3 linked regions of the Lonchura striata genome follow. The protein of the gene in region 1 binds, or shares a complex with, the protein of each later gene. Links are inferred from orthologs where the notes say so. Each region holds a gene or a part of one and is shown in the gene's direction. Other genes may lie near its edges. The genes, in order: KL, FGFR3 and FGF23.

What was found.
Region 2: the proteins of KL (region 1) and FGFR3 are in contact, whole or in part, in a cryo-EM structure (PDB 7YSU), measured with the Homo sapiens proteins. The link is inferred for Lonchura striata from reciprocal best matches to the Homo sapiens genes KL and FGFR3. Residues at the interface, in NP_004786.2 of Homo sapiens: Ser539, Gln540, Phe541, Thr542, Asp543, Asn545, Val546, Tyr547, Leu548, Trp549, Asp550, Val551, Ser554, Lys555, Arg556, Leu557, Val563, Lys566, Arg568, Tyr571, Val573, Ala576, Pro580; in NP_000133.1 of Homo sapiens: Gln286, Leu288, His290, Val291, Val293, Gly299, Thr303, Pro304, Tyr305, Val306, Thr307, Val308, Leu309, Lys310, Glu320, Leu324, Ser325, Leu326, His327, Asn328, Val329, Glu332, Asp333, Thr338, Leu340, Phe347, His349.
Region 3: the proteins of KL (region 1) and FGF23 are in contact, whole or in part, in a cryo-EM structure (PDB 7YSH), measured with the Homo sapiens proteins. The link is inferred for Lonchura striata from reciprocal best matches to the Homo sapiens genes KL and FGF23. Residues at the interface, in NP_004786.2 of Homo sapiens: Phe377, Lys385, Leu389, Glu390, Pro392, Trp417, Phe418, Ser420, Lys429, Tyr432, Tyr433, Lys436, Phe437, Arg468, Ser471, Ile472, Arg556, Arg693, Asn694, Met695, Thr696, Tyr697, Ile735, Val752, Phe755, Asp756, Asn782, Asn783, Leu785, Ile812; in NP_065689.1 of Homo sapiens: Leu39, Met74, Ala80, Val88, Arg91, Leu166, Ile167, Phe169, Asn170, Ile173, Arg175, His177, Asp184, Ser185, Glu186, Arg187, Asp188, Pro189, Leu190, Asn191, Val192, Leu193, Lys194, Pro195, Arg196, Ala197, Arg198, Met199, Thr200, Pro201.

Annotation. Positions count from the first base shown.
Region 1 is NC_134604.1:67,245,699-67,252,717, reverse strand, and holds the start of KL (klotho), read left to right. Parts: upstream 1-3,962; coding exon 3,963-4,769; intron 4,770-7,019. UniProt on the Homo sapiens protein: May have weak glycosidase activity towards glucuronylated steroids. However, it lacks essential active site Glu residues at positions 239 and 872, suggesting it may be inactive as a glycosidase in vivo.
Region 2 is NC_134606.1:8,143,112-8,151,193, forward strand, and holds the start of FGFR3 (fibroblast growth factor receptor 3), read left to right. Parts: upstream 1-5,024; 5' UTR 5,025-5,100; intron 5,101-5,286; 5' UTR 5,287-5,337; coding exon 5,338-5,515; intron 5,516-8,082.
Region 3 is NC_134607.1:483,517-491,436, reverse strand, and holds the start of FGF23 (fibroblast growth factor 23), read left to right. Parts: upstream 1-4,835; coding exon 4,836-5,064; intron 5,065-7,335; coding exon 7,336-7,439; intron 7,440-7,920. UniProt on the Homo sapiens protein: Regulator of phosphate homeostasis. Inhibits renal tubular phosphate transport by reducing SLC34A1 levels. Up-regulates EGR1 expression in the presence of KL. Acts directly on the parathyroid to decrease PTH secretion. Regulator of vitamin-D metabolism.

The DNA of each region.
Region 1 (7,019 bases):
CTTTCTCTTCTCCCTCAGCTCTGAACTCCTCTTGTCAGACAAATCCATGTCTCCTGCCCAGGACTGGAAGAGCAAGGCTGTACTCACTTCTTCAATACCCCTCTTCTTAGGAGAGAGGTAACTTCTTTTCCTTTCATCTGTGCCCATCCCTTCTTTTACCCATGCATCGACGCACTAGAGTGCCCATGATTCAGAATAAGCCATTGGAGTGGACTTGAGAGTGACTTGGTACTTAGAGATAGAGGAGAATTTGACATCTTCCCAAGCATTCCACAGCATTGCATTTATTTCATCAGCAAGTTTATTTTGAACCTGACAACACACTAATTTCTAATTTCAAAACAATGAAATGTCCCTAAGGTAATTCTGAATGTACAGTAAATGCATTTAAGTAGTGTGATCATGTGAGAAAGAAGGAACAGGTATGGAAGGCTGCACTTTTTCAAGGAAACTGGACTTGCAAAAGAAAGAACTTATTTGCCTTGTAGTCTGTGGTGTTCGGGCAGGGATGAAGAAGGTAAATCTAGAATGCTGTTGGACATCTTTCTAGTGGAAACAGCTATTGATGAGGAAGTGGAAGTAAAATTTCACAGCTTAGCAGTTTGCATTTAACAGACAGAACACAGAAGTAGTACTGTTATGCAGCGATGTCAGAAGCAGAGAAAACACTCAAATCTAAATCAGGTGGTGATTTTTTTAAGCAGTTTTTCCAAGTGTTAGCAAATACTTTTGTGTCCCGAGAGGAAATGCTGAGACTGCAAAATCTATTACATAAGGCCATTTTCACATGGCTGTATGGCTGTATGCATTTGGAAGTATGTTTGTGAACAGAGAAGGAGCATTAAAACAGGAGATGGTAGTTTTAGGCACTGAGATCACTTGTTCCATCACAAATGCTACTGGTATATGGCTTCTAGCTCTTCTCTGGAGATCTTAAAATGATAAAGGGGTTTTCTGCATTGAAGCATGGTATTACCTCAGGGGAAGCTGTTAAATGAATCTAAAGCAGTAATAGAGTTATTTTACCTAAAATTAAGTATCCCAGAAGATCCATCCCCTTTGGGATATAAACAGAACTGCTCAGTCAGAACACTGTCAAGTTTGATTGCATGCACTGACTCTATACCGAGCAAAGAAAATCTCAGCACAGCCTGAAGGAAGATTATAATGACACAATACTATACATTATACATATTATCAAAAGTTGAATGTTCAGTAATCACCAATACAAAGAGGCTGAAAATCAAATCCTGATCTGCTTACCTGGGGCAGGACTGAAAGCATGCTTGCTCAGCAACATGGACGAAATGGAGCCACACTTTGAACTCAAGGAGTAACGAGGGAGACCTGAATGTCTGCAAGTGTTTGGCTGACCTTTCTGCATGGTTAATATTGCACAGAGTTTTTTAGGCTGTCTGCTAGGAAAAAAAAAAAATTGGCTCAAAGCAGTTGGTAATTGTATTGTTGTCCTAAGACAAGAAAACAAGCTTTCTAAGAATAAAACCAAAAACAACACATGGAACTAGAGGCCACACCGCACATTTTCTGTTATTTACCCTCCCCCCCCCCCACACACACACAGACACACACACAGACACACACACAGACACACACACAAAAAAAAAAAAAAAAAAAAAGCTTTCATCTGTCAGACATGCAGGTAAAGTCAAAGTTGAAGGGACAGCTTCATGCCAATGGTTTATGGTGAGATTTTGTCCCTCAAAAATGGGCTTCTTGCTTCGGGAGTACACTCCACTGTATTTTGACAATTTTTGGATAATGTAGCCATTCTCAGATGTTTCAGAAGTTCTCTAGACTGACTTAGAGTAACACCAACAAATAATTTCTTTGCCTTGACTGTTGACAGGCTCTGGAAGAAACAAGTGAAGGAGCTTTAGTTCAGTCTCTACTTATTGGTTCTTGCAAAGTACAAATAGGATTGATCTAGGTTTTAGTTAATAATTAGCACATGAAGAAAGAATATACTATATGTATTTCAAAATCTCTTGTGTCCCTAGATACTCAATATTTTTTTCCTTAAATATTACCAATAGACTTACCATCACTAATATCTTTATTTAGGTATTGGTGTTTCTGACACATGCCTGTGCATTCCTATTTTTAAAATACTTTGTCAGCAAAATCCAGTGAAGACATTATGCTTCCCTTGAAATCAGGTCTGCAGCTGAACAGGAGCCACTCCTTGCACAGGGACAATTGCAGCAATGCCCCAGTACACTTAACAATCTCCAGTTTCTGCAAGTAACTAGCAGCTGATGCCAACAATCTTTTTCTGTTGTTGTATCTGAAGTTGTCATGTACTCAGACTGTAATTGAATTTCAGCACCTTCTCAGACTGTATTCCAAACTCACTCCTGGAAACCAATGTCCAGCCTTGGTTCTGGGCCTGCCACCTCCTGTTCCTGCTTTACAAACTTTCTCCTTTAGGGAAGGGTTGTTGATGGTCCCCTGAACTGTTGAGACCTCCATCCCCCTAACATGGCAATTAATAATAATTGCCACAATGGAAGACTAATTCCAATTCTGTCTCCTACATCTTTGTTCTCTTTAAAAACAGCACAAATCAATCCCTAAAACTGATCTGGATCAGTGCAGAAAATATGGAAGTTGGAGGTTATAGAAACGGGCACGGGCAGGGCAATTGCCCTGCCTGAATTTGGGAGAGGTGAGAGCCCATCCTGTGCACAAAAAGAAACCTTCATTAGTTCACAACTAGCATTTAAATCCATTGACTCATTATCAGCAATTATCTGTAATTTTTCCCTGGGGAAGTTTATTTTCTAAAAATAAAATTAAATTACCTAAAGGCCTTCATTCAGCCTTATCTCCTGGGAACATGTCTCTGTGCTTAACAGCCTGTCTAGTAGATGTATTCTATTCTTAGGTGTCCCAAATCCTGTTAAGAGTTCACACCACTGAATACCAGGTTCTGCAAGGTGTTGGGGTGTTTCTGGCTTCGCCCTTGCGGCAGCTCTCCCCGATGGTTAAATGGTTCTGTCCACAAGAGACGCAAAGGGCAGTTTGAGACCTGCCTTTACAGAGCAGTCTGTGCCTCACGCCTGCTCAGTTGGTTACTAAACGTAACTCAGTAATCAAACTTAACTCGATTTGTTTTCTCTCCGTAAAGATCCGTGAGGCATTTCTAACTGGAACTTGTTTTTTGTGCAGCAAGCAACCAAATATACCAACCTCCTACTCCAGGAAACAAAAGAGTTGTTACTGGGAGGTGACAACCCATGAATTCCCGGGAAGCAGGCGGGGAGGAGTGAGCGTATGATGTCCTTGGACAACGAGTTCTCTGCAACTGCTGCTACATGAGAGATCCCAGGTGCGATGTGTCTTGCTAAATTACCACGACGGAAACACTGAGGGAAGGGAAAAGCGTTTTTATTTCCTCGCCTTTCCCACAGCCGAGCCCCGGGACCGCTCCCCCTGTCTCGGTCGGGCGCAGGGGCGCTGCCCCACGGACCCCCCGACGGCGGCACTGCAGCGGGGCACGGGAGGGGCTACGCTCATCCCCTCAGAGCGGACGGATCCGGCCGTCGAGTCTCCGCGGGCCCTTCCGACGGGAAGACAGTCGGCAGGGCAGCGGCGAGGGTCCCGCTTCCGAGGGGACAATGTAGTCGCAGCGAGGTGCGGGCAGCCGGCGGGGCGGGCGAAGGGCTGCGGCACCCCGCCTGCAGCCCGCGGACCGGGATCTTTCCCTTTGAGGGGCCGGGGTACCCACGGGCACCCAGGGGCGACAGGGATCTCCCCGAGGAGCCCACGCCCCGCTTCCCCCCTTTCCTCCCCGCCCGCCCCGTCTCACGCCCCGGCTCCCGCCCCCGGCGGCAGCTCTCCCCGATGGAACCGGCTGGGAATGATGCAGGCGGCAGCTCCGAGGTAATTATTAATGGCCGTGCCCATCAGGGCGGGAAGGCGGGGGCGCAAGGTGAGATAAAATGGGGCAGCGGGGAGCTGGGAGGCGGGAGCTGCCGTCGCGGAGCCCCGCCGGGAGCATGGCCCTCGCCGCGTCGCTGCTGCCACTGCTGCTGCTGCTGCTGTTGTGGCGGCCGGGGCTGGCGGCGCCGGGGCAGGGTGCGGGCACCTGGTCCCGTTTCGCCCGGCTGCCCTACCCGCAGGACCAGCTCTTCCTCCACGACACCTTCCCCGACGGCTTCCTCTGGGGCGCGGGCAGCGCCGCCTACCAGACGGAGGGCGGCTGGCGACAGGGCGGCAAGGGCGCGTCCGTCTGGGACACCTTCGTTCACCGCCCGGCCACGCCGCCGGGGGCCGCCCCGCCGGGGCCCCTGGGCGGCGACGTGGCCAGCGACAGCTACAACAACCTGTTCCGCGACGTCGAGGGGCTGCGGCGCCTGGGGGTCTCGCACTACCGCTTCTCGCTGTCCTGGGCCCGGCTGCTGCCCAACGGGACGGCGCCGCCCAACCCCGCCGGGCTGGCGCACTACGGGCGGCTGCTGGCCCGCCTGCGGGAGCTGGGCGTCGAGCCCGTGGTCACCCTCTACCACTGGGACCTGCCGCAGGCCCTGCAGGACTCCCTCGGCGGCTGGGCCAGCCCCGTCCTGCCCCGGCTCTTCCGCGACTACGCCGAGCTGTGCTTCAGGCACTTCGGCGGGCAGGTGCGCTACTGGCTGACCATGGACAACCCCTACGTGGTGGCCTGGCACGGCTACGGCACGGGGCGGCTGCCGCCCGGCGTTCGGGGGGGCCCGCGCCTGGGCTACCTGGCGGCCCACCACCTGCTGCAGGTAAACGCGGCTCCCCGCTCAGCCCGCCCCACCGGCACTCCGGTGCGCTGGTCCCACACCGGTATGGAACACAAGTCAGCACATCTATGGGCAAAGGAGGCAAAACTCGGTGTAAGGCAGGAGCTTTGCGACTGAGCTGGTGGAGTTAAAGAACTCTGTTTTGCGGTAGTGTCCGCTTCTGCCCGCAGCAGTTCAGTTGCTATTCTGCATGAGTGAGGGTCTGCAGTCCCTGGACTGTGCCACTCCAGTGCTGCCTTTCTTAAGCTGGAAATGCTTAATATGACTGTAAAGAGAGTTTGTGTATTTGATAGAAAAGGCTTACTGAATTATTGGAGATGGTAGAAGTGGCCAATATGTCGTACAGAGACATTTTCTTGACAAAGTATGATGTTTTTTTGAGTGTGAGCACTTTTTGAGGAAAGAGACCCACAATTCCCCAATTAGTCTTGTAAGTGGCACGAGTAGTTCTATATACTTCATTTTTTTCTGTGTACTATTATGTAATTGTGGTATTTGCTGGGAGCAACCCATGCGGATTTTCTGAGTTAAGCAGAAGTGTGTATGTATCCTTCCAATGACAGGAGAAGGGATTCCTAACTGGAATGGGGTGGTCATTTAGGCATGATCTCTTGTACTTCAATATACATTTACATTTCTGCTAATACTTGTCAGCTCAGCACACACATTCTGGCAGGAGTTATATCCTAATAAGCATTGTGCATTAGATGTAGGCTTGAAGAAAACTTCCAACACATGCCTTATTTGACTTTTTTCCACTTTCCTGTATTATTTCTGCATTCTTTAATGTTACAAATAAGTCAAAGGGAAAATAGAGATGGAGAAAATGTGGGTAGAATTTCAGGTTAATTTCCTCGTCCTGAAAACTTTAAGCTCTTTATGTAGTTACCATGGTCGTACTTGGCCATGTTTCATTCTTGAGTATATCCTGCATCACCATAGTATCAGAGTCCCTCATAATCTCAAGCATGTGGTTCTTCTCATAAAAGCTCTGTGAAGAAAGATACTTTTCTATGTAATAATTAGAAATTGAGCCACAGTCTTGGCCAAGCCATGTCAAAAGTGTAATTAAACCAGGAAAGTCTACCAATGCTTGCTTTAGTGACGGAACCGTAGTATTTAGTTTTGTCCCAGTGGCTGTCAGTCAGGGTTTGCACATCAGTGAACATTTCTTTTTATGTACAGTGGAAGGCAGCAAGATACCACTTTTCCCCCCACATTTTATGAAAGAGGAGCTGAAACACAGATTCACTTAAGAGCCAAAGTGGTCACTAGTTGTCAGTGTCCTTTTTCTGGTGTGTGATCTTTGTAGATTATTGGTCAGTTACATTATACTTCCAGCTCTTCTACAAGTCATATCCTCAAATCGCAAATCGCCTGCAGAGAAAATGAGAGACATACATTATGTGCAGAGGAGCTCACATCCCTGATTTCCCCAGGTAAGAGTCTTCATGGAGGCAGAGGTAGAGCCTAGTTCTTCAGCACAGAGAAGTGAACAGCTTTCATCTGTTTCTCCTTCTCCTTTTTACTTCTCTGTAGCATATTAATATTAGATCTTTTAACTTGTGCAAGCAGTGAAATAGGAGGAAGCTATATTGTATGGCTTCCACAGCCTAATATCCATAGAAAAAGTATGTGAGTTTGTGTAAGAAAAGATTAAAGTTCTACCATAGATGGTAAAGAGAGAATTGCATTTCACGTGGAAATTAAATTGTCTTGCACAGGTCTAGAGTATTGACCTTGAAACTTGAATGTTGTTCTTTAATATGTGTCTATGGGTTGTATAATTTTGTAGGCGAGTTTGGGCATTTTTTTGGGAGTGTGCGCATCTTTGGTTTGTATCAGAAGGGTGCACAGCAACACTGCTTTATCACTTGAGCTGCAGCATGTGTTCAGCGCTGGACAGTGTTGCTGGGAGATACAGTCCTCTTAGACCCACTGCAAAAGATGTGGCTGAATCCTCTCATGCAAAGAAACCCCCTTTCATCGTCTAACCTTTTGCTCCCTATATCATAAGAGGTGATCCCTGGTTTCTTCTTAATCCTTTTTCCTTCTCTTTGCCATTCTTGTATTTTATTTTTCTCCAGGGAAATTGAATTTGTAGAACATGTTTGGTCTTTTTTGAAGTTAGAATTTGTTATCATAATCGTTTCTCAGCAAATGTACAGACTAGGTCTTAGTATGCATGACTTCTGACTTTTTTTCCTCTTATTTACAATATGCAGGTAAACC
Region 2 (8,082 bases), on another chromosome or scaffold:
GCCTCTAGATGTGGCTGGGTTGGTATCAGACACAACACTGTGTCAGCACTGGCTTGAGGGAGCATACAGGCTGTATTAAAGTAGAATTGAGCATGACTGAATTTGAGCTTCCTCCCAGGTAAGTCAATCTTACACTGAGAAAGAGCTTGCCTAAAAGTCATAACAATAATAACTAATATTGACCATAATTCTGCTGTCCTTTATAGACGGAAAACCTGAACTTGTATTTATTTTAGGATGTTACTGCTTGTTCTGAAAGTTCCCATGCCACTCACTACTCATCCCTTTCCCTACCTTGGAGTGGGGCAGAAGAGGTGAAAACCCCTGGAGAAAGGAGAGCCACCAGACAATAATACAGTGGGGCCAGGACCTGGGGTAGAGTGCAATGTGTGTGAGCTCTAAAGGGCTGCAGAAAAGGGAAATTTCTGTAACCCCTGCTGCAGGTGAGCAGTCAGGGTGGATGGGCAGCTGGTGCCCTTTGGTGGTCTCTGGCCACATCCAGGAGAGAAGACTTCAAAGGCAGCTGTTGGACTCCCAGAAGCTCATCTTGGCAGTGTGTGATTTCTCCTTACAGGCATCAGCCTGCACAGTCTGCTCAGGGATTAAACAGGCTAAGGCTTCATTGCAAATGCCCCTCAAAGTGAGGTGCCCTGCTACACCCCAAGGGCAATCCTGCTGCACACACATTTGCCTGAAATATCCTATGTGCCCATGGCATGAAGAGGTCTGGCAGGCAGCAGTGATCTCTGTCTCATCCCCTCCAGGCTCCAGCACGCTGCCAGGGTTTGCTCCAAGGACAGGCAACACCCAGCTCGTGCAGGTGGTCAGTGACACCTCTGAGAGCACTTGTGACCCTGGTGCAGTGCCCTGGCTGCACACACACAGCTGCTGTGCTGAGTCAGCATTATTTCAAGGTCTGATTTTAAATCCCTGCTTCTCAAACCCTCCACAGGCTTGCTCCAGTTATTTGTTTTTGTTTTTGTTTTTGTTTTTGTTTTTGTTTTTGTTTTTGTTTTTGTTTTTGTTTTGTTTTGTTTTTGTTTTGTTTTGTTTTGTTTTGTTTTGTTTTGTTTTGTTTTGTTTTTTCTCAACTTTCTCCAATTGCCTGCTTTGCTTTCCAGGCTGACAAATTATTTTACCTCTGCCAGCACCTCCCATACAAAGCTCTTGCAGAATAGATCCAGCATGCAGCTCCAGTTCACTTGTTCCTTCTTATTTCACCTCAGATAAAACAACTCACTCCTTCCCCTTATTCCTTGTCTGTTCCATGCTGTTCAGTGGGAAACAAATCCAGCAGGATAAGATTTTGTTGCAACCAGCTCACAGAGGGTGCAGGCACAGAGAGATCCTTCACAAGGTGTTTGTCTGTTCACAGTGTTTACCCTGACAATCATTTGGAACCTTAATCTTAGCAACAATGACTTTCGAGCTTGAAATTCAATAAACCAGCCTGGAAGTGCAGTTCTAAGGGCTGGCTAGCTAATAAAAAGCGGTTTAGCCGTTCCAATGCACCTTATTGATATAAATGGGTAGTGACATGAGCTCTGGAAAATGTACCCCAGTGCTGGCATCCACTGATGCTATTTAACCCTTGAAGGTTAAGGGTGAACAGCTTGGATTCTAGTCATGCACACTGATACTGATCTCTGAACCAATATTTCAATTCAGTTCTGTGTGAACTTGTAGCATTCGGCTGGGCTGAAGGAACAGCGTGTTACAGCATTGTGAGGCCACAACACCCAGTCTGGCTCACAAGTCAGCTAACAAGACCCAGTTTTGATAAGAAATATTTGGGAATATTTATTGTGTGTACCTAACCTGATATGATTCAGCAGCTTAAGTGACTGAGACTCTGATCAAACTTGCCAGCATATTAAAATTTGAATTAAAGCTTCACCTACTTCAGTGCTCTGTTCTAACTCAGTATTGATTCAGGGATTGCTTTCTGCTGGCTAAGGAAGCAGCTCCTGTGAGTATCAGATGTATGGGGGCAATTTTTGCAAGATCCTTGTTGAGGGCAGCACTGGTGCCTGAGCCTTCTGGCTGCCATGCTACATCTGGCAGCTCAGATGTGCAGGGGAGAGCTTTGCACAGTGCACGAGGTGGGCTGCAGGAGAAGGGAAGTGATCACAGGCTTTCTGACAGCAATGTCATCAAGGCTGACATTGGCATGAATAAAGCCTCTCTCCATGCTTCTCCAGAGCCTCAGTCCTGAGGGCTTTGGGACAAGCATCTGACAGCCCGTCCTGTCCCCATCTCATAGACAGAGAGGCAGAAGGGACTGCTTAAAGCATTCACACCTGGAGCCAATTTTGGTCCCCTTTTTTTGACAGAACCCTTCATGTAACTTAATTTGAGACTATCAACAGGTTGCACTTTAATAGAGAGAGATTAGCAGCCTCCCTCTAAGGTAGGGCTTTGGAGAGGCATGAAGGGAGGGAGGGGGCTTAGCCATGCAAATGCCCCCAGGGCCTGCAAGGCTCTGCAAAAACTGTCCCAGGGCATCCAGTCTCCGTGGCTGAGCCCCCAGTGGGGTCTGGGCAGATGGAGGTGTGTGACAGTGACAGGCTTGAAGCCACTCACTCAAAAAAGGGCTACCACTCACCATCCCTGAGCTGCTGAAAGGGGCTTGATTTTCATCACAGGCAGCTTTAGATATTAAAGGGATAAACAAATATAAAGGTCTGGGAAGGGAATTCTTATAAAGGGTAAAAGGAGAACAAACATGTTGGCAGAGAAAGTATCCCTGCATGGAGGGGAGTGCATATGCTCCTAGCCTGAGGGGGAAGAAAAACTTTGGGGCTAATATATGGCTTATGGCATAACAGTGCTGAAATAAATGCAACTGTGTTGTGCAGGCTTTACTAGCCTATGTACATGGATTTTTTTTTTTTTTTTATAGTAAGAGAGTGGCTGAGACACAGTCCAGAGCTGCAGTTTTTGCTGCACAGCACTACATCCTGGGCTCTCTTACAGTGGCCACCACTGTGACAAAGCAGCATCAAAAAAATCTGTACTTAATCGGGTCTGTGCTCCCCAACACCACATGAATGTTCCGCATGGTTAATAAATAGGAAAACTAAAAATATCCTGCTGTAGGGAAAACTGCAAACCTTGAAGTTCTTCATACAGGACTATCTTAATGCCCATTTGATTTCCTGTTGTAAAGAGCTTCCAAATGTTATAAGCTCTTGGTTTTTTTTCCAAATGAAAACCAGTTCAAAATCATTAAAGGGCTGAGCTAACTTGATACACGGTGCAGACCTTCACATCTCCCAGTAACCTTAAAACTCTCTGGGTTCAGATTTGCTGTTTCCATCCTGTTACTCCTGGAGCAGCATGAGAGTTTTTACCCTTGCCTGACAGAAAGCAACAATCACTGTGGCACTTTTAAAACTCAGCTACAGTGTGAAAAACCTCACTGAATTCTCACCGACGTTTTTATTTTTTTCTGCAAACTTAGGAAAGCTCCTGGTCCTCCTTTGCTGCTCTCCTCTTGGAAAATTGAGGTAGTAATAGTAACAATACTAACAGCAATAGGAAAAATAACGCTACAACAACAATCCTACCCTGATGGCTTTACTTGAGAGCAGAATTTGGCCCTGCTTTTGCAATTTTGCCTTCAAAGTAATGACGCCAACAACTCCTTGTGCAGTGTTATAATTATGCTGCTGTTGTTTTAATTTTTTGTGATTTTCTGGCACCTCCAGCACAGCAGTTATGACAGCAAACATTGTACAGCTTGACGTACTGCCAAACCTTCTCTGTGACGGTGAAATAAGCACATTTTATTTATATGTCTGCTTCTCCCTCCGTTGTTTTAATTTAAAACCGACAGTGTCACTGGCGAGGGTCTCCACTGACATGTAGGATTTCCTCGCCGCAGCCCCTTTCAATGCTTCCCCACACAATGCCACAGTATTGAGATGTCAGAGTCTCTGTGCCTGATAAAGGTGTCAAGAGAGATCCCGGCTGCGGCGACGACAGCGCGAACGCCGAGCCCCCCGCGGCGGCCAGGAGCGATCGCCGCCGCTCCCCTCGCTGCAAGCCAAAGCTCCGCACCGCCCGCCTTTCCTCTCACCCAGAAAAACTCCCCTTGACTCTAGCGCAGGTTGGGTTTTTTGGGCCCCTTCTGCAGGGCATTTTCAGCTCTGATAATATCTGCGTCTATTTTCAGCGAACGAGCTGCTGTGTCAAGTGGGATTAAAGTAGAGCTGTGACTTCTCTGTATGAGGCAGATCAGCTCGCTGTCAGCAGTAAGTGATGCGTGTCGCTTCAGCAGCTCGGCCGTGTCGGGGGTCTCTGAGATGACCACAAAAACCCGAACTATAACTGTGATAGTGACTAGATCATTGCAGTGGTGACTGTAAATGTGACTAGATCCATCTAGTCAGACTTTATTAAAACAGCTACTTCAGTTGGCAGAGGAGACACGCAGAGAGCCGTGGAGCCTGTCATGATTCCCATACACGTATCACAGCGATTATGGGTGTGGGGGAGTGAAGTCAGGGGGCTCGAAGCGGGTGGCTTCACTTCGGGGTACGGAGTGGCAGCCATGGAGGGGAAATGGGTGCATGGGCCATCTGCTGCTCAGGTGCCAGGCTGAGCCGAACTGCTGCACGCACAGAGCTGTCCCCATCCCACGCATCCCCCTTCCCGCCGCCTCTTCAGAAAACGCGCTGTTCCAGGGCCAGGAGAAGGGGACGCGCGGTGACCGCCGCGGGATCCAGCATGGGAGCACCGCGCCAACTTCAGTCTCACGTCTGTGGGAAGCGGTGCCGCTCCGCCCCGAGGGCTCGGCGGGCGCAGCCCCGCGCGGCTCCGGCCGCCCCCCCGCGCAGCCGCGGGGCCGGGCGCGGAGCGGCGCGGGGCGGGCGCGGCCCCCCGCGGCGGCGGCGGCGGGGCGGGGCGGGGCGGGGCGGGCGGTCCGGCCCGGCGGGCGGGGACAGCGCGGCCGCCCCGCTCCGCGCCCGCTGCGCTGGGAGCAGACGCAGGAGCGCCGCGGCGGCGGGCGGGCGGCAGCGGCGGCTCCTGCGGGCGCTCGCTCCCTGCCTCCCTCCCTCGATGCGCGGTGCGCGGCCGGCCGCGGGGCTTGCGCAGGTAGGCGCCCCGCCGCCGCTCGGCGCACGGCTTCGCCCGGCCCCCTGCACTTTTTTACTGCTCCCACCGCTTTTTTTTCCGCCTTTTTACTATTATTTTTCCTGTTCCTCCTCTGTGTGGGCACTAGGGGCGGGGGGTTTTCTCGTCCTCCTCCCCGCGCTGAGCGCCTCTCTCCTCTCCCGGCAGCGCGGCGGCGGAGCGGAGCGGTGAGCGGCGGCAGCATGCGGCGGCCGGGGGATGTCTGAGGCGGGCGGTGCGGCGGCGGCCGCGCTGCCCCGGCGCCGCTCCGGAGGCATGCGGGCGGCCTGGGGCTCCGTCTGGTGCCTGTGCCTGGCGGCGGCCGTCGGCGGGATGCCGGCGGCAAGGCGGGGCGGCGGCAAGGCGGCGGCGGCGAGGAGCGGCGGGCAGCCGGCAGGTAAGGGCTGCGCGGCCGCGCACACACGTGCTCTGCGGGGACGGCCCGGCCGGGTTCGGCGCTACGAGTCCCCGTCCGGGAGCGAGCGGAGCGGGGCGGGTGGATGGAGGCCGCTGGAGGCGGCGGCGGAGCGGGAGTTACGAACGCGGGCCCGGGGCGGTTCCACCTCGCCGTGGATCGGGGTAGTCTGAAAGCCGCCCAGAAGGGACAAAGTGCTTTTAAGAGGATCCCTGTCTGCCAGGAGTTCTCTCAGCCAGGCGGTGCATGGGGCGCTCCGTGGGTAACAGCTGGGAAGATGCTTGCGTGCGTGTGTAGCAGCGCATCTTCGGCACACATCGGGAATGCTCTGACTGCGTGTGTTCGGGTGGGAAAAGTAAGGAAAGGTCATTTATGTCCTCATCTTGGGAGCAAAAGGGGTGTTGCCACAGCTCCGGGTAGGCACAGGCTGGGTTGCAGCTGAATGAGCGGCCGTGCTGAGAAGGGAAGTGCGTTTCGGGAGAGCCGGCGAGGATCTCCCCTGGAGTGGCAGCACTGCAGTTGCAAGTGAAAAAAAGTTAACACGTCGGGCAAAAGCTGGGCTTTGCTTTTTTCTTTCCAAGTAATATACGGCGGGTTTGAAGCATCGTGTCTCTGTGATCCGCCTCAGCTGCTACCTGAGTCCCTGTTTATTTTTCAAAGCTCTTTAATGGAAGGGAGCCCCTTCGCAGCCCCCTGTCCTCCGGTTTGCATGTACCCGGCAGAAAGTTTCCATTGTTCAGGAAAGGGTTCGAAGCCTGTTTGCCAAAAAAGTGACAGGGGAATAAATGGACTTCGTGGAGGCTGGGGGGTAGGGGGCATTACTTTCATACCCCTTTTGGTTAAAGCTATAAATCACACAGGGGGTTGGGTTTGTTTTTAAGAAAGTCCTAATAAAACACCAGATTCTTAGTGTAACTCGTTTGGCTCATTTTTCACAGCCAAAAGAATTGATTTATGGGGCAACATGGCAGGGACTTGGTCAGAGCAGATGAGGTCGGTGTGCGGAGGGCGGCGAGCAGCCTGTGCTGGCCACAGGGCTGCGAGTGACAGAAGCGAAGTGTCCCCAGTTCTCTCTGGCTTAGCCTGAGGTCCGTGTTGGTGCTGTCACTTTTCAGACACAGTCGATCCCGTGGGGGTGAGCAGCAACCTCGGTGGCTGCCTCAGTGGTCCCTGGGCTTCTTTCATTCAGCCCTTAGCTGGGGTCGACGATGTGTTAAGTGGTGCTAAACCCCTCCCGTGCTCTACGATACTTTGGCAAGTTAAAGCTTTGGGATCCTGTTGGAATCGTAGCAAGTGGCATACTCGGAGGTCACACAGAGGGAATCATCCTTCCAGTGATGTCTGTGAAGTGAGTGATGGGTTGGGGTTTCCAGGGCCTCCCGTGGAAATCCTCGGGACAGTCTCTGTTATCTCTTGGTCAGCATTCTCTAAATGAAAGATGTCACTGTCAACTCTTGCTCTGCGCCCTGGAATGGGATTCAGGAAACCAGGAGGGTTCCCGTCAACCCCAACCCCTAGCAACGTCTTGCCCTGTCACTGTGAGCTATTGAAAACTCGTGTGGATGGGAAGTATGAGGGGAGACAGAGCTTTTCAGTGCCAGTGGCTGTGCCACCTCTTCCACGTGCGTGGGGACGCGTGAAGCCACTGCTGCTTCCCCAGCTCTGTGCCAGAGCCAGCGGCTCTGCCACGGTCAGGGCACCCGCTGCCTGTCCGACCTGGGGGGGAAAGGTTGTGCAAAAGAAACTGTAAAGAATATAAACCTTCAGAGCCGAGTAAAAACACATTTTACTTTTTCAGTCTTTTTGAATTGAATGGTAAAAAGCAAATTCTTTCTCCTAGTCAAATGGGCCATGGGGTATTGGCTCATTACTGAGGGTTGTTGTTCGCTGGGCTTTGCATTTACAGTCTAAGGCCTTATTTTCCATAAAGGGGCTTGGAAGGATTTTTCCCCAGTGATCTAATTCTCCGCACGGGGCTGTGAAGGCTATAACAGCTACTGCTTTGTGCCTATACTCAGCTACATAAAACACACATTGAAGGGAGGCATTCTCGAGGTATGTGTATGTTTGCTAATATGAATACTGGCTATTAGCGGAGGTGGAGGGGGTGCAGGTTTTAACATCTCCGCAGGGAGGTGTTCGGCTGTTGGCAGGAAGGAGGCAGATGGCGGGGCTGTTGCTGAATAGAAGCTAAACTAAAAACACCAGGGGCCTCATCTGGGCTGAGTTTCTCTTCTCTCCCGTTCTCGGAGCTGCTGTAGGAAGAACAATGTCAAATTTTCCCCCTCCCTCTTTTTTTTTTTTTTTTTTTTTTTTATGAATGAAAGTAAGAGAGGCGAGGCAGGATTGAATGTGTATGTCATTCAGGGGCTATGACAGAGATGATTAGGGAGGTCAGTGAACTCCTTTGCAGCCTTGAGCATGCGGTCACTCTATTCAGCAGCCACAGAATAGACATCAATATAAAAAAGCCCGTCCAATTTGCATTAGTATTCAGATAAAGATATTACTTCGTACGATTTGTGAATGTCAAGTAATGCTGGCTGTTT
Region 3 (7,920 bases), on another chromosome or scaffold:
AAACCATCAGCTTGCATTTAGGCACCTTGTAGCATATTACAATAGGAGATGGATGACTGAAATGACTTTCTCGTTGAGGCTGTGTATCTGCGTCCTGAGGATTCCTTTGCACCTGGAAGCAAGCACACCAGGAGAAAAGTGAAAATTTCTCAGACAAGACACAGTGCCTGGGCAGGCAGGTCAGCAGGACTGGGTGTGCACAGGGCAGATTTCAGAATCCAGACAAATTTCAGGCCTTGCAAGCCTTAACACCAAAACAGAACATTTTTCAGCCTTCCAGACCTGAGGGAAGGCTACAGGACAGATGGAGAGAGACTCGTGACAAGGGCCTAGAGTTACAGGACAAGGGAGAGTGGCTTCACACTGACAGAAGTGCAAGGTTAGATGGGATATTAGGAAGAAATTGTTCACTGTGAGGTTGATGAGGCCCTGGCACAGGTTTTCCAAAGAAGCTGTGGCTGCACCAGCCCTGACGGTGTCCAAGGCCAGACTGGATGGGGCTCTGAGCAACCTGGGATAATGGCAGGTGTCCCTGCCCATGGCAGGGAGTTGGAATGAAATTATCTTTAAGATCCCTTCCAAACAGGCCATTCTGTGATTCTATGATTTTTTTTGAAATTGAGGGTATCAGCAGCTATCACCACAAGTTGTACCCGTCCTATCTCCCACAACACCTAAGAAAACTCAGACCCCTTAAAATGACAGAAACACTCTCTGTTCAGAGAACAAAACCTTTTAGGGACTGGTTCTGCTTTGCCTGGGATCTGTGCCAAGGATTTCAGCTGGAGGAGGAATGAGGCCCTTCATTTCAGTTCATTAGAGCAGGCACACTGCAGAAACTGCTGGTACATGCTGCGGTCCTGAACCCAGTGGGCTGTGCTTACCTCATCTTTTTCACGTAGGTGAGCCGAGCCAGGATGTTTTCTTTAGTCGTGGGCAGTGTGACAAGAATGGGGCCTCCAAATAAGGTCACTCAGGATGTGTTTAACAACACCGGGTGAAGTCTGTGGCAAAGACAACTGCACACACACACACACAGAGCATCCACTGTACATTCCCTCGGCTCAGTGCGTCAGTATTCCTAGAATAACTCCTGGAGAGGCACTCCACCCTTGTGCTTCCAGAACTGGGGGTGTGATCATCCCAGAGCCACTCGTAACAGTGATTTTAAGGAGGCAGAGGGACAAGCTCCTAATTTCTGTGACCTTTTTTGAAGAGATACAGTGCAAAGGAAATTATTAAAAGCAGAGGTAGTTTCGAATCTGTCAACCCAAACTCCTGTGTGAGCTGAGCAGCAGAGAGCAAGAGGCTTCCTGAGGCCAGCACGGACACTCAGATGGCACAGAATGCTGCAAAAGGGCAAGCCACCCACCTGTTTACATATAAGTCAATATGCTTTATTAGGCAAGAGTGCTACAGGTGCTCCTACGTGATGAAAGGAACTCCTGCACTGTGAGGGGACGTGTAGTTTTACTCATAGGAGAATCCTGGAAGGCAAATCCATCAGATTGAGCAGAAAACTTTTTTTTTTAACCCGCAAATTTCTGATGGTCCACAAAGCCCTTCCAAAAGATAACTGCACGTCACTTGTAGTAACTTCAATCTGTTGTAAAAAGAGCTTGCCTTTGCCTTGTGAGCTCTCTCCAGAACTGAGGGGATAAGCAGTAAAAGAAAGCAGCACAAGGAATGATATTTAGCTGCTGAGGGCTTTACAGAGTTGAGGTGGTAAGTCTGGACTGCAAAATAACCTAAAGCTGAAACTCAAAGCAGTCAAAATGGGGGAAAGTCAGACCTCAATCTGCTCCTGTGACCCTCAGTTCTTTCTGTGTACCCTTTTGCAGTTAAATGATGATACCAGGAAGGCCTGAGTGTCATCCATGTTCCAGCTGAGGCACCTGGCCCAGGTGAGTGACCAGCATACCTGGCTAAACCTGAGCTGAGCTGCCTCTGGAGCAAGGAGCAGGAGGCAGCAGGAGTAGACCTGGGACAAAGGCATGGCAGGGAGGGAGTGGAGTGAGACCCACTTCCCTGCTATGGGCAGGGACATTTCCCCTTTAGACCAGGTTGCTTAATTATTATCTTAAATAAATTTCATCCTGAAAGCTGGGGTCTGTCTTACCCATCTTCTTTCATCTTTTGCTCTGGAGTGAGGATTTCCTCCCTTTACCTTGGTTCCTGACATTGACAATAGGTGTTATCTCCTCCAGGCTGTGTCCCAGCTCCCTTTCCAGGGTACGTCTAAGGAGGCCCCTGCACCGCTGTGGCACCTGACACTGGCAGTGTAGCACCCCTGCAGTGGGAAGTGGAAAATGTGGCAATGTAAAATGGTTGTGATCTTTAAATTCAATCCCATTTTTTTCCTTTTATTTCTCCCTACAACAAGCAATTTCTGTTAATTATCAGCAATTTCTTAGCTGAGAACTGAGAAAAGCCACCTTGATTCATCAAACACACAGAGCAATATAGAAACATGAAAAATCAATACCAACTCCTGTGGTAAAAGTTGCAGAAATATTGTTATTGCTGATGCATCAGCATAACATGCAAGACAAGAAAGGCTGTCATCACTTCTACTATAACAGACTTGGCTGAAGGAGTAAAGCAGCTTTCATACACCTGGCTACCCCATTGACAGCTGAATGGGTAGAGGATAAGTGAAATAGCCACAGAAGGAATAAATAGATCAGCCTAAAATGAAAAAGACATGGACTGTAAAAAAAACCCAAAAACTCATAACAAACCACATGTAGTGGGCATTTATAGGTTTAAAGCAAAAAAGTCTATGAAAAAGCAGAACTTGTATTATCATTCTCACAAGCAGGGACTTAATAAATTCACTTTAGCCCACCAGATTAGTAAAGTCTGGAGTTTTCCTGATGCTGTAGGAAACTTTAGAAAATGCTAAACAGTTTAAGCTTGTAAAAGTAGCCTTTGCTTGTCTGATTATTATAAAACATGAAACAGATTATCACAACTGGCATGTGCTTAAATGAGGTTCAATAAATTTTTCAAACATCTGAGAATATTTTCTGTGCCACCAAGGCACTGGAGAAAGATCAGATCAGTGCATGCTGGCAAGCACAACAAAATGTCATGGTGAATATGAAACATCAAAACAGGAAAATTACAGTCACAAAAGAAAGATAGAATATTCCAAGAGGGTACAGAGCCTCTGTGAGACACTTCTACAACTGAGGTATCAATATCCACATTTCCATAGGAGTCTAATCAAAGGGGCAAAGAAAAAAACCAGAGCAACCAACCAACCAATCAAAAAACCCAAACATTTCTTCTAGGATCAGAGTGAAAAATATGTGTGGATAATTTTAACAGTAAATAGAGATATTTAATTTAAAAGTAACTCTCCTTTCCTTCTAAGCTACCTTTTAATTTAAAGCATTTTAGATGTTATAACCAGTAAAACATCTGAGGCCTGGATTGTCTTTCAGGGCAACCATCTTTGTCAGCCTGCTCAGTTTAAGATCTGACCCTTATACACTTTGGCTAAAAAGTGCTGTCATTTACACAGGTGAATATACTCTGACGCAAGTCTCTGGATTTACACAGGTGTGGCAGCAGAATTTGGCAGGGTTTTACTAATTTTAAAAAATAAAAAAACTGAAATCAGATCCACTTCTGCAGTGGGTTACAGCTATACCAATCCATTAATCTTATCAATCCATTATATGCTGATGATACAGCTCCACAGCTTGTTCATGAAACAAAGAAGTTTTCATGCTATGTCCAGCTAGAAACTAAAACTGAACCTAACACTGCTACAGTTAAAATCCTCAGGTTTCTTTAAAGAAATATTAATTTATTGTTTGGTACTTCTGTCAAATTTATATTAAATTTTGAAAGGAACCTTAACACAGTCCAGTTTTGGAACTTGTCATTCCTATAATTGATTCACCCATATCCAGTCTCCCATTAGTACAGCATTTTCATGTACTAATTTTCTATTTCATAAATAGAACCATATTTTTTTTTTTTAAATCAGAAAATTTGTTTGTAAAGACCCACAGCATTGGCAGGACACCTGAGAAGCAGGTCTTGAATCTTGGAACATTTTTTACGAACTGCCAGTCAGATGTGCAATGCAGGAGCAAACATCCAGCTTTTAAGTGTTTTACACATTATTTTCAGCTGGTTTTGGACAACTTTAGATTATTTATGTGATTCAGAAGGAAACAGAAGAAATAAAAGGGACTTGAAGTAGGTTCCACTCATATCAAGTTCCCTTCACTTGAATCAAATGATACAAATATCAGCCCAACAGCCTTGGTGTGGAACATGGACCATAATGAAGGGGGAATCAGGCTCAGGACAGCTTAATATTAACTTTTGGTACATTTGCAACAAAATTTTAGCTGCATTTGATGTTTCCAGTAAATCAGAATGCAGCTTGGAAACAGTGAAGGGAGGTGGGAGTCTGAATAAACACATCTGGCAAAAAAGAAAGATAATTCAGGTCCGAAGGGTCATTCCCTTCAGTTCAAGTGCAGTGGATTGCCCTTCCTGGATCCAACAGTAGAGGCGTGGGAAGCTTTCAGATGTCACAGGGTTGTAGATAACATTTGAACATATGATTAGCTTTCGTGAGCTGTCTTTAGAAACCTTACATTTTTCCCCCACACACCTTAGCCAGAGATCCTTCCCTTGAGGTTTCGGGACACTTAAAATGTTGCTTTGCCAAAAATCAAGGATGTGGAGAAGGTTTTCCTGTGTGATGTCATGTTGCTGTCCTTTATAAGCCTCTGCAGAGAAGAAGGGATCCTGTCGGAGGATTCAAACTCCAGGCACGAGGGGAGGTGAGGAGCAGACGCTGACCCACCATGGAGTGGCGAGCCATTCTCCAGGGCATTCCCTGCAGCTCCCTGCTCCTGCTGCTCTGCAGCCTAAAGGCTTCCCTTGCCTTTCCCAACTCCTCTCCACTGCTGAGTCCCAGCTGGGGCAATGGAGACCGCCTGATGCACCTCTACACCGACACCGAGAGGAGCAGCTTCCACCTCCAGATCAACGCTGATGGCTACATTGATGGTGCTCCTCACCAAACCATCTACAGTAAGTGGCTTCCTACAGACCTCCATGGGAGCAGGGGAGGGACAATGAGAATTTTTACTTCCTCACCATCTATAGAAAATCCCTTCTTCTCATTAGGCAGGCAGGCAGAGGAGCACAGCCATGGGATGGAAAATATACATCATTATAATTCTCCTTTTGTTTAACAAATAAAATCACTCTAAAGAAATCTAGTGGATAGGGATTTTCATTCCTTACCTAGGATAACTAAAGTCCTATGGTTCCTATAATATCCTGCAAGGAAAAACCACCTGAATTATCCTTCAGTTCATGATTTTACCCCCAGTTTCTGGTGGAAGTTCCTATTAGAGGTTGGTAATGATATCCTCCAAATAGCTACTTCCCACTGATGGTGATACCAAAGGAATTACATTGAGGGAATTCACCAGAGCAGTGCTGGAAAACTGATGGCATCCATAAAATCTGTATTTTGGGGTGGAGGGCTGAAAACTACTAAAAGTTAAGTTTCAATGTGCAAAGAACACAGGCACGTAAAGATCAATTAAAAAGGGGGAAACTATGAAAGACCAGACTGGCATAAAAGAAGTGTTAAGACTTTGGGGTTCATGAGAAGAAACTATGCCCTGCTATCACTGAAAGGTTTTCAAATTGTGTCTTCACAGTTTATTTTATTATATATTTTATTATTCTATTTCAACAGAGAATAGTTTATTCTTCTTCCTTTGCTAAATGCTTGGCCCAAACTCTTTAGTTAGTAGACAAATGTAGGAGGGGTTTAAGACTTAGGGTACTTTTATAGCATTTCAAAAATACTTATCTCTTAGCATTCAAATCACAAGTAGCTATGCATTATAAAATCAGCTTTTTGTTGTTGTTATTATTCTAATTACTATTATTACTACATTTATTTTACACACTCATTTAAAAATCTAAGTTGTTGTCAAAAATCTTGTTATTATTATCATTAGTATTATTATTACATCTATTTTATACAATCAGCTAAAAATCTAAGCCTAGGTAATGAAGCTTTTACATAAGTAAATAAGGATGTTTTTTAAAATTATAATTTAATTGATGAGGAAAAAGGATCACATTCTGCTATTTTTTTAAGGAATTGATAATGCAACACTCACAGAAATGCTGGCACTGTCTTGTTAATCTTCCTACATATTAAAAGATTTTATACAACTAATTTTAGGTATGTTAGTCAAGAACCAGTGTGGGATTTTAGAGAACAAGAGACAGCAAAATATCACATTTTCCCATATATGCCATGAAACAAGCATAGCAGGATTCAGAATGGTGGAGCAAGAAAAATGAAAATCAGACAACAAAAGGGGTATTGAGAGGGAGGGTGACTGATTTGCTGCCACCGAGCCACCAGACAATGGGGAATGCCAAGTTCTCCAGCAGGGTGGCATGGCCTGAGTGCAATCTCCTGGGTGGGACAAGGCAACAGGCACTGAGTCAAATGCAAGGAGCAGATCAAGCAAAGTTGTTATTTATTCCCACTTTACCTGGCACCAGTAACATTGCTCTTGGAGCACTACAGCAACCCCAGTTCATGTTGCATGAGTAGAAGGTAGGGCTAGTCTGGCACAGGGTTTTCAGGGGGCCTTGATCATGATCTGTTGTGGTTTTAGTCCAGCAAAAAGGATGTTAAGGGCAATGTAATGACAGAATGACAGACTGGTTGAGGGTGAAAGGCACCACAGTGGGTCACCTGGTCCCACCTCCCTGCTCCACCAGAGCCATCCCAGAGCACAGGGCACAGGATTGTGTCCAGATGGTTCTGGAATATCCCCAGGTGTGGAGGAGACTCCACATCCTCTCCAGACAATCTGTTCAGGGCTCAGCCACTGCACAGGACAGAAGTTCTGCCTCCTGTCCAGGTGTTAACTTCCATCTGATTATCTGTTCCTGCCGATTCCTCTGGTGCCACTGCTGAGCACCACTGAAAAGATACCACAGGGCAGTCACAAAAGATGAGGGGGGCAAACAGCCCCTGGATGTGGGCAATGGCAGAACTGAGGGCAATGTTCTCAGACCACGATTTGGGACTTCAGAGGGAAAAAAAGTTGTCTTTAGGAGGTTAGTGCCACATTGGAACAGTGTAACACACTCCATCCTGGGAGTTTTCAAAACCACAGCAAACCTGATTTAGGGTGGGCAACAGTCCCAGGTCATGTGGGAGGTTGGTTTGAATTCCCAAAGGTCATTTCTAGTCAGAGCATCCATGGATCTGTAAATGCAATGTTGAAATGGATTTGATGTTTTTGTTGTTCTGAATAGGTGCCCTAATGATCAAGTCTGAGGGTGCTGGCTCAGTAATAATCACAGGTGTGAAGAGTGGACGCTACCTGTGTATGGACATGAAAGGAAATATATTTGGCTCGGTGAGTGACCTTTCCCAAGTCTTCAGGCTCAATGGCCAGTGCATTCTGTTGCTGTGGTGCCCATTTCCCCAGCCAGGGCAAGCCTGGGTAGCTGCAGGTGGAGGGGGAAGTGTTAGAGAAGATCTGACACTTAGGTCAAATTTTACTCTCTCCTTTGATTGTATTAAGTAGTAGAGCTGACAAAATCATCTGAGGTCCTGCCTGGGTTAATGAGCAAAAAAAAACCAAAACAAAACAAAACCACAATAAAACATAAAAACCCACAACAAAAACAACAGCAAAACCCCCTACTTTTCCGTATTACAGAAATGAGATCCAGTGAGGTACCAATCTGTAGCACAGAGCCATGGGTAGGGACCCTCAGGGAGAAAACAGGGTTTATCATTAAAATTCCTTTGCTGAAAGCATGGACTTGCAACTCTGATCTACATTTGGATCACACATGGACCTGGGAGATTAGAAAAACACCTGCTACAAGATC